Linked DNA regions of Sus scrofa. The protein of the gene in region 1 purifies or fractionates together with the protein of each later gene. This does not show direct contact. Links are inferred from orthologs where the notes say so. Each region holds a gene or a part of one and is shown in the gene's direction. Other genes may lie near its edges. The genes, in order: KCNJ4 and DLG4.

Region 1 (4,347 bases):
CCTGGGAACCCCCATATGCCGTGGGAGCGGCCCAAAGAAATAGCAAAAAGACAAAAAAAAAAAAAAAAAAAAAAAAAAAGAACTAAACTTGTGGCCGGTGCTGGATGAATGAATGAGGAGGTGATGGATGACTTCTGCTAAGGGCAGCAGGAGGCCTTCCTAGGGGAGGTGGCGTGGAGGCTGGACTTGGGAAACAGCAGGAATTCTTAGAGCAGAGAAGCAGGAAGGGCATTTAAGGCAGGAAGAATAGCATGTGCAAAGGCAGAGAGGTGTGGAAGCATCTGGTGTGTTCGGGAATCTGTAGGCATCGTGGTGTATGTGTGGGTATATGGGGTGTGAGATAAGGTGGGACCTGACTGTACATCACACTGAGGAGTTGGGACGCAATCCTTTTAGGAGGGGAGGGACTGTGGGGATTGGGAACAGTCATGATGGTTCAAGTGTGGTGGTTCCTGTGCCTGCGGCAACTTCAGAGGGTCAGCTTGAAGGATGAGCTGGAGATTTTATGTTCAGTAAATTCTCGGTCCGGCTTGGAGTGCCCCAATCTCCCTCACTTAACTGGGGCCAGTCAGAGATGGCCAGGCTCCCAGGGAAGTCCTTCTGGCTATCTAACTGCAGGTATTCGTTCATCCTCGCACCCTACATCCTCTAACCTCCTGCATCCTCAGAGTGAGGTGGCAGGAATGGCCACGGGAGTGGCTGGCTCGCCAGGGGCTGTGAGGAGCTGGGGCTTTCTCCCCACAGTCCAGACTGGTGTGGGGTCCAGACCGGTGCGCCCCCAAGATGAGAAGGAAACGGGCGAGATCCTCCCTATAAAGACATTTTGGGGTGATGGGGACGCAGAGAAGGAAAAACTGTGGTTTGGCCCGGCTCTGCCACCTCTGGGTGACCTTGGGCAAACTTATGACCCTTTCTGATACCCAGTTTCCCAGTCTGTCAAACGGGGCGGTGCTGCCCAGCGGATGGTGAGGGTCCCTCCAGGAGGGTTACACCTCCGGCTCCCGGGGGCGGGGTGCGTAGGGTCCTTAATGGCCAGTCCTGCAGGAGGGGAAGGGAACCGCCGAGGGGAGTGGCCCGCAGCCGAGGAACCGGGTACCGACCCTATCCCACCCACTCCCTTCCCGGCGCGGAGGAACCCTCTCCACCTGCCCCTGGGGGGCGAGAAAACCTGGGAGCGGATTCTCGGAGCGGGTTCTGGGCGGAGTGCTCCTGGAGGGAGGAGGAAAACCCGGGCAGGATCTGGGACAGGAGCGGCCCCCGCGGCCCCCAGCCCCTGCCCGGCCCGGCGCTGCCCGCGGGTGGGAGGGGGTGTGATGCCGGGCTAGGCTGAGGGGACGGGCCGGGGCCGGGTCCCCCGGGCCGCCCGGGGCTCCGGGGCTGGGGTGGGGGGGCGCGGCCTCCGCAGCGGGGCGCGGGTCACGTGTGAGGAGGGGCGAAAGTCTCGCAAAGCGGGGCGGCGTGCCGCGAGTTGGGAGTTCTCGGCGCGCCGCGGGCGGCGGGAGCTCGGGCTCCCGGGCGAGCCGGGGACGCGGCAGAGGCGGGGGCCTGGGTCCGAGACCGCGGGGGCCGCACCGAGAGTGGGAGGCAGAGAGAGAGAGAGGCAGAGGCAGGGACCCGGAGCGAGACAGAGACGCTCAGGGGAGAGAGGGCAGAGGCAGAGGAAGGCAGCGGACAGACCGGGAGGGCGACGGAGACGAAGACAGGGGCCCGCGGGGAGAGTCGGAGAGACCCAGGCGGGCAGGAGAGACTGCGAGAGACCGAGAGCCGAGGGGGCCGGCGGGGGCGGGGGCGGCAGAGCCCGGGCCGGCCGGCTTCGGGGGTCTCGGGGCCGGAGGCGAGCGCAGCGGGCCAGGGAGCGGAGCGCAGGGCGGGGGACAGCGCCGAGGGACAGCGAGAGAACCGTGGGGGCGGCGGAGAGAAGGCGGCGGGGGCGGGGGGCTCCAGCGCCATGGGTCCCCGGACCCCCGCGCTCTGAGCCCCGGCCCGGGGCCCGACGATGCTGAAGCTGAGGCGGCGCCGAGGGCGCGGCGCGGGGCAGCGCTGAAAGTTGGGCGGCCGGCGGGGAGCGGCGCGGGACGGCCCGGAGGCCGGGACACCGGGGGACCGACGGACAGACCCACAGGCAGCGGGGGAGGGGGGCGGGGCCGGCCGCCGAGTTCGCGGGGAAGGGGCGCCGGGACTCCCCGCTCCCGGCCCGGGACGCTGCCCGCCCGACTGCGCCGTGGGATGTAGCGGCCTCTCGCCGCCTCCCGGAGACTCGTCGGACCCTGCGCCCCGCGGTAAGCCCGGCCGGCGCTCGCCGCTGGCGCTGTCCGTCCGTCTGTCCCGCCGCGTGCGTGTGTATGTGTGTGTGTCCCGGGGCCTGGCGGCTCGGGCCCCGCCCGCTCGGCACCTTATCCCCTGACCCGGGCTTCGGCCGCCGGGCGCGCGTTCAGCGCGATCAGGCGACTTCCCCGGAGCCGAGGAGCTCTGTCCTCTGTCCGTCGTCGTCTCAGGAGCGTCAAGGTCTGGGTTTCTGCCAGGAGGGGGGGTAGAGGTGAGTGCAAAGGGCCTGGACCTCTTGCCCCGGCCGTGACCTTTCCCTGCCTCCACCCACCCCCAGTTGTCACACTGGGTTGGAGGAGTTTCAAAGCAGATGACTTGTGGCAAAGGGGGGGGGGGGTCTCCTATCCACCTCCCCAACTGCAGCCTGTTTGCAAAATGGCCCTGACAGAACAAAATCCCTCTTCTCTCGTTTTGAGCACCTGCTTTGGGCCCTGAGACCCTAGAGAGGGTGGACAGGGATGGATGAAGCAGTTCAGGCTTCCCAGCGGTGGCGACAGGCCACAGAGGGAGGCCAGAGTGCCTTCCCTCCCTAGACGGAGAGCACCAGGAAAGAGAGGTCTGGATGGAGTAGGGAAACTTCCCTGCAACCGTGCCCAGTGTCCCCTGACCAGCATCTACATGGCACTTGTGTTTCCAGAGCCCAGGCTCTAAGATGGGGAGAGGGTGCAGGGGGGTGGTGGGGGTGGGCGAGAGACAGGTGGAGGGCTGCCTGGCATAGTTAGCAGGCGGGGGCCTCCGGAGCAGGAGGATGCCAAGAAGCAGGTTGAGGGAACAGAGAGCTGAGGGAGGGAGGCCTAAGGGCCACACATGCAAGGTCCAGAGAGGAGCCAGACCTGTGTGTGTGTGCGTGTGCGTGTGCGTGTGTGTGTGTGTGTGTGTGTAGAATGTCTATTCTGTTTCTCCCCCACATCCAGTCTTGTGACCTCCATGGCTTTGGGACTTTTGAGAGCTGTTGGCAGGACTTTGGGGGCCTGAGAGCCAAACTGTGGTCCTGGCGTGGCCTGGGATGAGGGGACAACATGTGGAAGGGGGCACTGGGCTCAGGGCTGCCGTGCGGTGTGGCAGGAGCAAAGGCGGTTGGCTGTTGAGCTGACCTATAGCCAAATCGGAGTCTGGAGGGCTGAACCTAGAACATTCTACTTGGTTCTCTCCTGGGGGATGGGCTCTTCCTGGGGTTTTCCCCACTGGGCAGTGGGCCTTGGGTAGCCCCCATTTGGGCTCCTAGAAGTCTGCTCAGCTGGCAGAGGGGCCAGCACCACGGGCAAGCCGCTCTCCTCCCTGGCCCTCAACTTCCACATCTGTGGAATGAGGACAGCAGTCAGTCCCCTGTCCCACTGACCTCCAAGGGAGGGGGGGCTGGGCTCGAGGGAGCCGAGGGCTGTCTACAGGCTGGGAAAGTGCAGAGCAAATGGAAGTAAAGACTCATTTTACCTCTGGGAAGAGGCATAGCTAACGGGGAGGGGGAACGTGGCCTGAACTAGAGGACTGACCAAGAAGGGCAGTGTCCGGCATCCGAGGAGGGGGACCTGGGGCTGGGGACCTCTTCCTCAGGAACCTTTGGGTGTACCCTGGAAAGGGAAGCTCCTCTCTCCTGCAAGTATTGGAGTGACTGGGACTAGACAGGGCTGGCCTTGAATTTCTCCTGGGTGACCTTGGGCAGCTGGCCGGACCTCTCTGGGCCTCGGTTTCTTCACCTGGGAAGTGGGGATGACGGCACTGACTTCTTTGGGTTGCTGAGTGATTCGCAGACTAGGTCAGGTCTCTGGAAGCAGCTGACACAAGTCTGGAGCATAGTAGGTTCTTACCTGACATTTGCAGAGCAGAGAATGAAGGAGCCCTAGGAGATACGGTGAAAGGATTTCTTAGCTTAGGATGGAAGAGGGAAGGGGAGGAGGAACAGTGTAGGCTTACAGGGCGGGCTGGTTCTTAATGTGGATCTGGGGGAGGCGGGGGCGTGTGCCGAGGGGGGTGTGAGGAGGAGGGGGGCCCTCTGCGGGGACCACTGAGTCACGAGGACATGGA
Region 2 (3,795 bases), on another chromosome or scaffold:
CCTTCTGGGCATTGATTGGGGTGCAGCTGGACATGAGGATTCTCGGAGAAGGGCGCTTCTCAAGTCACCCTCACGTCCTGGGCTGACCATCCCAGGGCAGGGATTTGGAGGACTCGGCGGTGGTGGTGTGGGGGGGAGGCAGCTCTGCCCCCCTCGGCCGGCATCTGGGGCTGCGCCGAAGGCAGGGCTGAAGCTAGACGGATGGCGGTTAGCTCTTTGGGGGCTGGGGTGACTTCCCGGCAGATACGACACGGCCCAAGCGGGAGTATGAGATAGATGGCCGGGATTACCACTTTGTGTCGTCCCGGGAGAAAATGGAGAAGGACATCCAGGCACACAAGTTCATCGAGGCCGGCCAGTACAACAGCCACCTGTATGGAACCAGCGTCCAGTCCGTGCGAGAGGTGGCAGAGCAGGTAGGAGCCGGCGGCCCGTCCTCTTCCTCCTCCCTCTCCCTGCCCTGTGGCCTTCCTCCAGCTGTCTCTAACTCTCTCTCTCTCTCTGTCTGTCTCTTTCCCTGCTGGGTCTCCGCTCCGCTCCTCCACCTCCTCCTCCTCCTGGGCAACTCTGTCGCCTGCCTGCTTTCCCGGGCCCCGCCCCCGCCTCCCTCCCTCGGTTCCTGACCCCAAACTCCGTGCTGCCATCTGTCCCCTCCCCTCCCCTCCTCCTTGCCCCATTTTTGCCTCTCCTCCTGTGGCCTCGGCCTTGATGGCCCGGCCTCCCCCCTCTGGGCCCTCCCTTCTGCCGGCTCCCCTCGGGTCCTCTCCCCTCCCCCTGCCCGTCCCTGGGGTCCCGGCTCCCGTCTCCCACTCCTCTGCCACCTCCTTCTTCCCCATGCCCCCACCCTGCCCTCTCTCCCTCCACGGCTTCTTTCTCCATCTGCCTCTCCTCCCTCCATCTGCTTCTCCTTGTTCCTTCCATCTGTCTGTCCTCTGTCCGTCCTCCCGGCCCTCCTCCCTCCACCCCACTTCCCTTCTCCTTCTGGGCTTTCTCCCCAACCTGTCGACGCCACCCCGCTCTTGCCTTGCTCTGCCCCATCTTTTGGGTCCCCTCCCTGCCTGTTCCTCACCCCTCTGCCCATTCCCCCAATCCCTCCCTCCTGTGCTGGCCCCTCCCTTGCTCTCTGTCTGCCGGCCTCCTTTTCTGTCCCTCACTCTGTCTGTCTGTACCTTTCTTGCCTCAACTTTCTCTGCCCACGTGTCTTTCGACATCCATGTCATTTCCCTTTTGGTGAATCTGCCGTTCCCCACCTTCTGGCATACTGTGTCCTGTCCTGGCACCTCTGTCTGTCCTTTCCCACCACCTGCTGGCCCCCCTCCGCCCGCCCTGCCCGCCCCCCAGGGGAAGCACTGCATCCTCGACGTCTCGGCCAATGCCGTGCGGCGGCTGCAGGCGGCCCACCTGCATCCTATCGCCATCTTCATCCGCCCCCGCTCCCTGGAGAATGTTCTGTGAGTATGGTCCCGGGGGGGCCTCCCCTCTGCTCCCCGCACCTGTGGCCCTGGGCCTCAGAAGGCCTCTGCGTTGAACTCTTCCCTCAGAACCCTGGACAGTGGCTCCAGCAGCCCTTGAGGGGGGTCTGCACCTGGAGTTGGCACCCAGAGGATGCAGGGACTCCCAGGCCTCTTTCTGCCTCCCTGCCCTGGTCTAGGCAGGACTACAACTCCCAGCAACCCCTGGGGCACACACCTGCTGGGGCGAGCCAGGGCCTCTGGGCTTTCGGGAGTTAGAGGCTGAATCCCTTCACTGGGGTGCGGGCTGGAAGGAGGAGGTGCTGGAGAGGTCCCTGAAGTGGCCACACCTGGCTGGGGTGGGTCACGGGGAGGGGGCCTATCTGTGGCCCCAGAGGATCTTGGAAGTTGTGCTCTTGGCATCAAGCTCCAACTAGGAAAATACGGGTTGCAGAGTTCCCGTTGTGGTGCAGGGGAAACGAATCCGATTAGTATCCATGAGGATGCGGGTTTGATCCCTGGCCTTGCTTGAGGTGTTGCCGTGAGCTGTGGTGTAGGTCAGTGATGCGGCTCAGATCCCGAGTTGCTGTGGCTGTGGTGTAGGCTGGCAGCTACAGCTCCAATTCGACCCTAGCCTGGAAACTTCCATGTATCTCCAGTGCGGCCCTAAAAAGCAAAAAAAAAAAAAAAAAAAAAAAAAAAAACGGAAAGGAAAAGAAAAGAAAATAGGGCTGCGACTTAACATCCCTGGATGGAGGAGACGGAGGGCTGAGGGACCACCCTGAGGTCTGTGTGGCTCTTGCTCCGCAGAGAGATCAATAAGCGGATCACAGAGGAGCAAGCCCGCAAAGCCTTCGACAGAGCCTCCAAACTGGAGCAGGAATTCACAGAGTGCTTCTCAGGTGAGGCTGCGGCGAGCCCGCCGCCAGGGCGCCAGGTGTCTTCGGCCGCAGCGTCAAAAAAGAGGCCCCTCTGGGTGGGTGATGTAGAAAGAGCTGCCGCCTTTGGGCTGGTGCAGCCCCGCGGCTCCTGGATGGGAAAGTGAGGCCGAGGTGCCCCTCCCTTCCCTGGGCCTGACGCCCCGCTCCCTCCGCCGCAGCCATCGTGGAGGGCGACAGCTTTGAGGAGATCTACCACAAGGTGAAGCGTGTCATCGAGGACCTCTCAGGCCCCTACATCTGGGTCCCAGCCCGAGAGAGACTCTGATTCCTTCCCTGGCTTGGCTGGACTTGCCCTGCCTCCATTGCCGGGGCCCTTGGTCTGGACTGAACTGCCCGAGCCCTTCGCACCCAGCCTCCCTCCCACCCCTTCTTATTTATTTCCTTTCTAACCGGATCCAGCCCGTTGGAGGGGGGACGCTCCTCTGCATGTATCCCCGCTCCCCAGAACTGGGCTCCTGAGCCCCCAGGAACCTGGGGTCTGGGGTGGGGGAGCCGGGCGCCTGGTCCCGAGCCCGAGCTCCTCAGGACCCCTGAGCCCTGCCCGCCCCCAGCGCGCACACACAGACCCCCCGGGGGCGCCTGCCCTCCCCTCCCACACACATTCCAGAAGTCAGGGCCCCTCCAGGAGCGCCCGCTGCAGGGCTGCAGGGCTGTAGGGCTGCAGGGCTGCAGGGCTGCAGGGCTCCGTGCTCTCCCGAGGCAGGGTCTGGGGTCACCCCTGCCCCCATCATAACTCCCCACGTCCCTTGAGTTCTCATTTATTTTTTTTCCATTTTTTTTCCTCTCAAAGGTGGTTTTTGGGGGGATACGTGGGGGGACCCCACTGCGGGCCCCCTGCCTTCCACACGCCCCCCACCTTTTTTCTTTGCCGGTTTGCATGAGTGGAAGGTCTAACTGTGGCTTTTTTTTTTTTTTTCTGGGATTTTTTTGGGGAACGGGGAGGGATGGGTCTAGGGAGTGGGAATGTGGGGGGGAGGGGGGCAGGGTTGGGGGTCGGGTGTCCGGGAGCCAGGGGACGACTGGAAATGCTGCCGCCTTCTGCAATTTATTTATTTTTTCTTTCGAGAGAGTGAAAGGAAGAGACAGATACTTGAAACCTGGTGTGTGGCCTGGTTATTTGGGGCCCGGGTGAGGAGGGAGGCAGGGTGGCAGCATGGCGCTGGGTCCGATGAAGTCAGATCCTTCTTTACCCACCGGCCCCTCACCCCCAGACAGGAGAGGGTGGCCCGAAAGGGGGGGCCTTGAAGGGAACCTCCACAGCAGAGCTCCCGTGTCATGAGGAAGAATGGGCTTGGGGGTGAGGGGCTGGAGCTTGGTCCTAGGTCACTGACAGACCCAGAAAGAGGCCCTGCCAAGGTAGCCCGGCCCTGACCACTCCCCTGGGCAGCCTCAGTCTTGTCAGG

What was found.
Region 2: the proteins of KCNJ4 (region 1) and DLG4 purify together in Homo sapiens (affinity purification with western blotting, with the first as the bait; 3 studies listed by BioGRID). This does not show direct contact. The link is inferred for Sus scrofa from reciprocal best matches to the Homo sapiens genes KCNJ4 and DLG4.

What each region holds. Positions count from the first base shown.
Region 1 is NC_010447.5:9,524,989-9,529,335, forward strand, and holds the start of KCNJ4 (inward rectifier potassium channel 4), read left to right. Parts: upstream 1-1,410; 5' UTR 1,411-2,279; intron 2,280-4,347. UniProt on the Homo sapiens protein: Inward rectifier potassium channels are characterized by a greater tendency to allow potassium to flow into the cell rather than out of it.
Region 2 is NC_010454.4:52,549,831-52,553,625, reverse strand, and holds the end of DLG4 (disks large homolog 4), read left to right. Parts: intron 1-243; coding exon 244-416; intron 417-1,341; coding exon 1,342-1,451; intron 1,452-2,261; coding exon 2,262-2,353; intron 2,354-2,550; coding exon 2,551-2,657; 3' UTR 2,658-3,488; downstream 3,489-3,795. UniProt on the Homo sapiens protein: Postsynaptic scaffolding protein that plays a critical role in synaptogenesis and synaptic plasticity by providing a platform for the postsynaptic clustering of crucial synaptic proteins.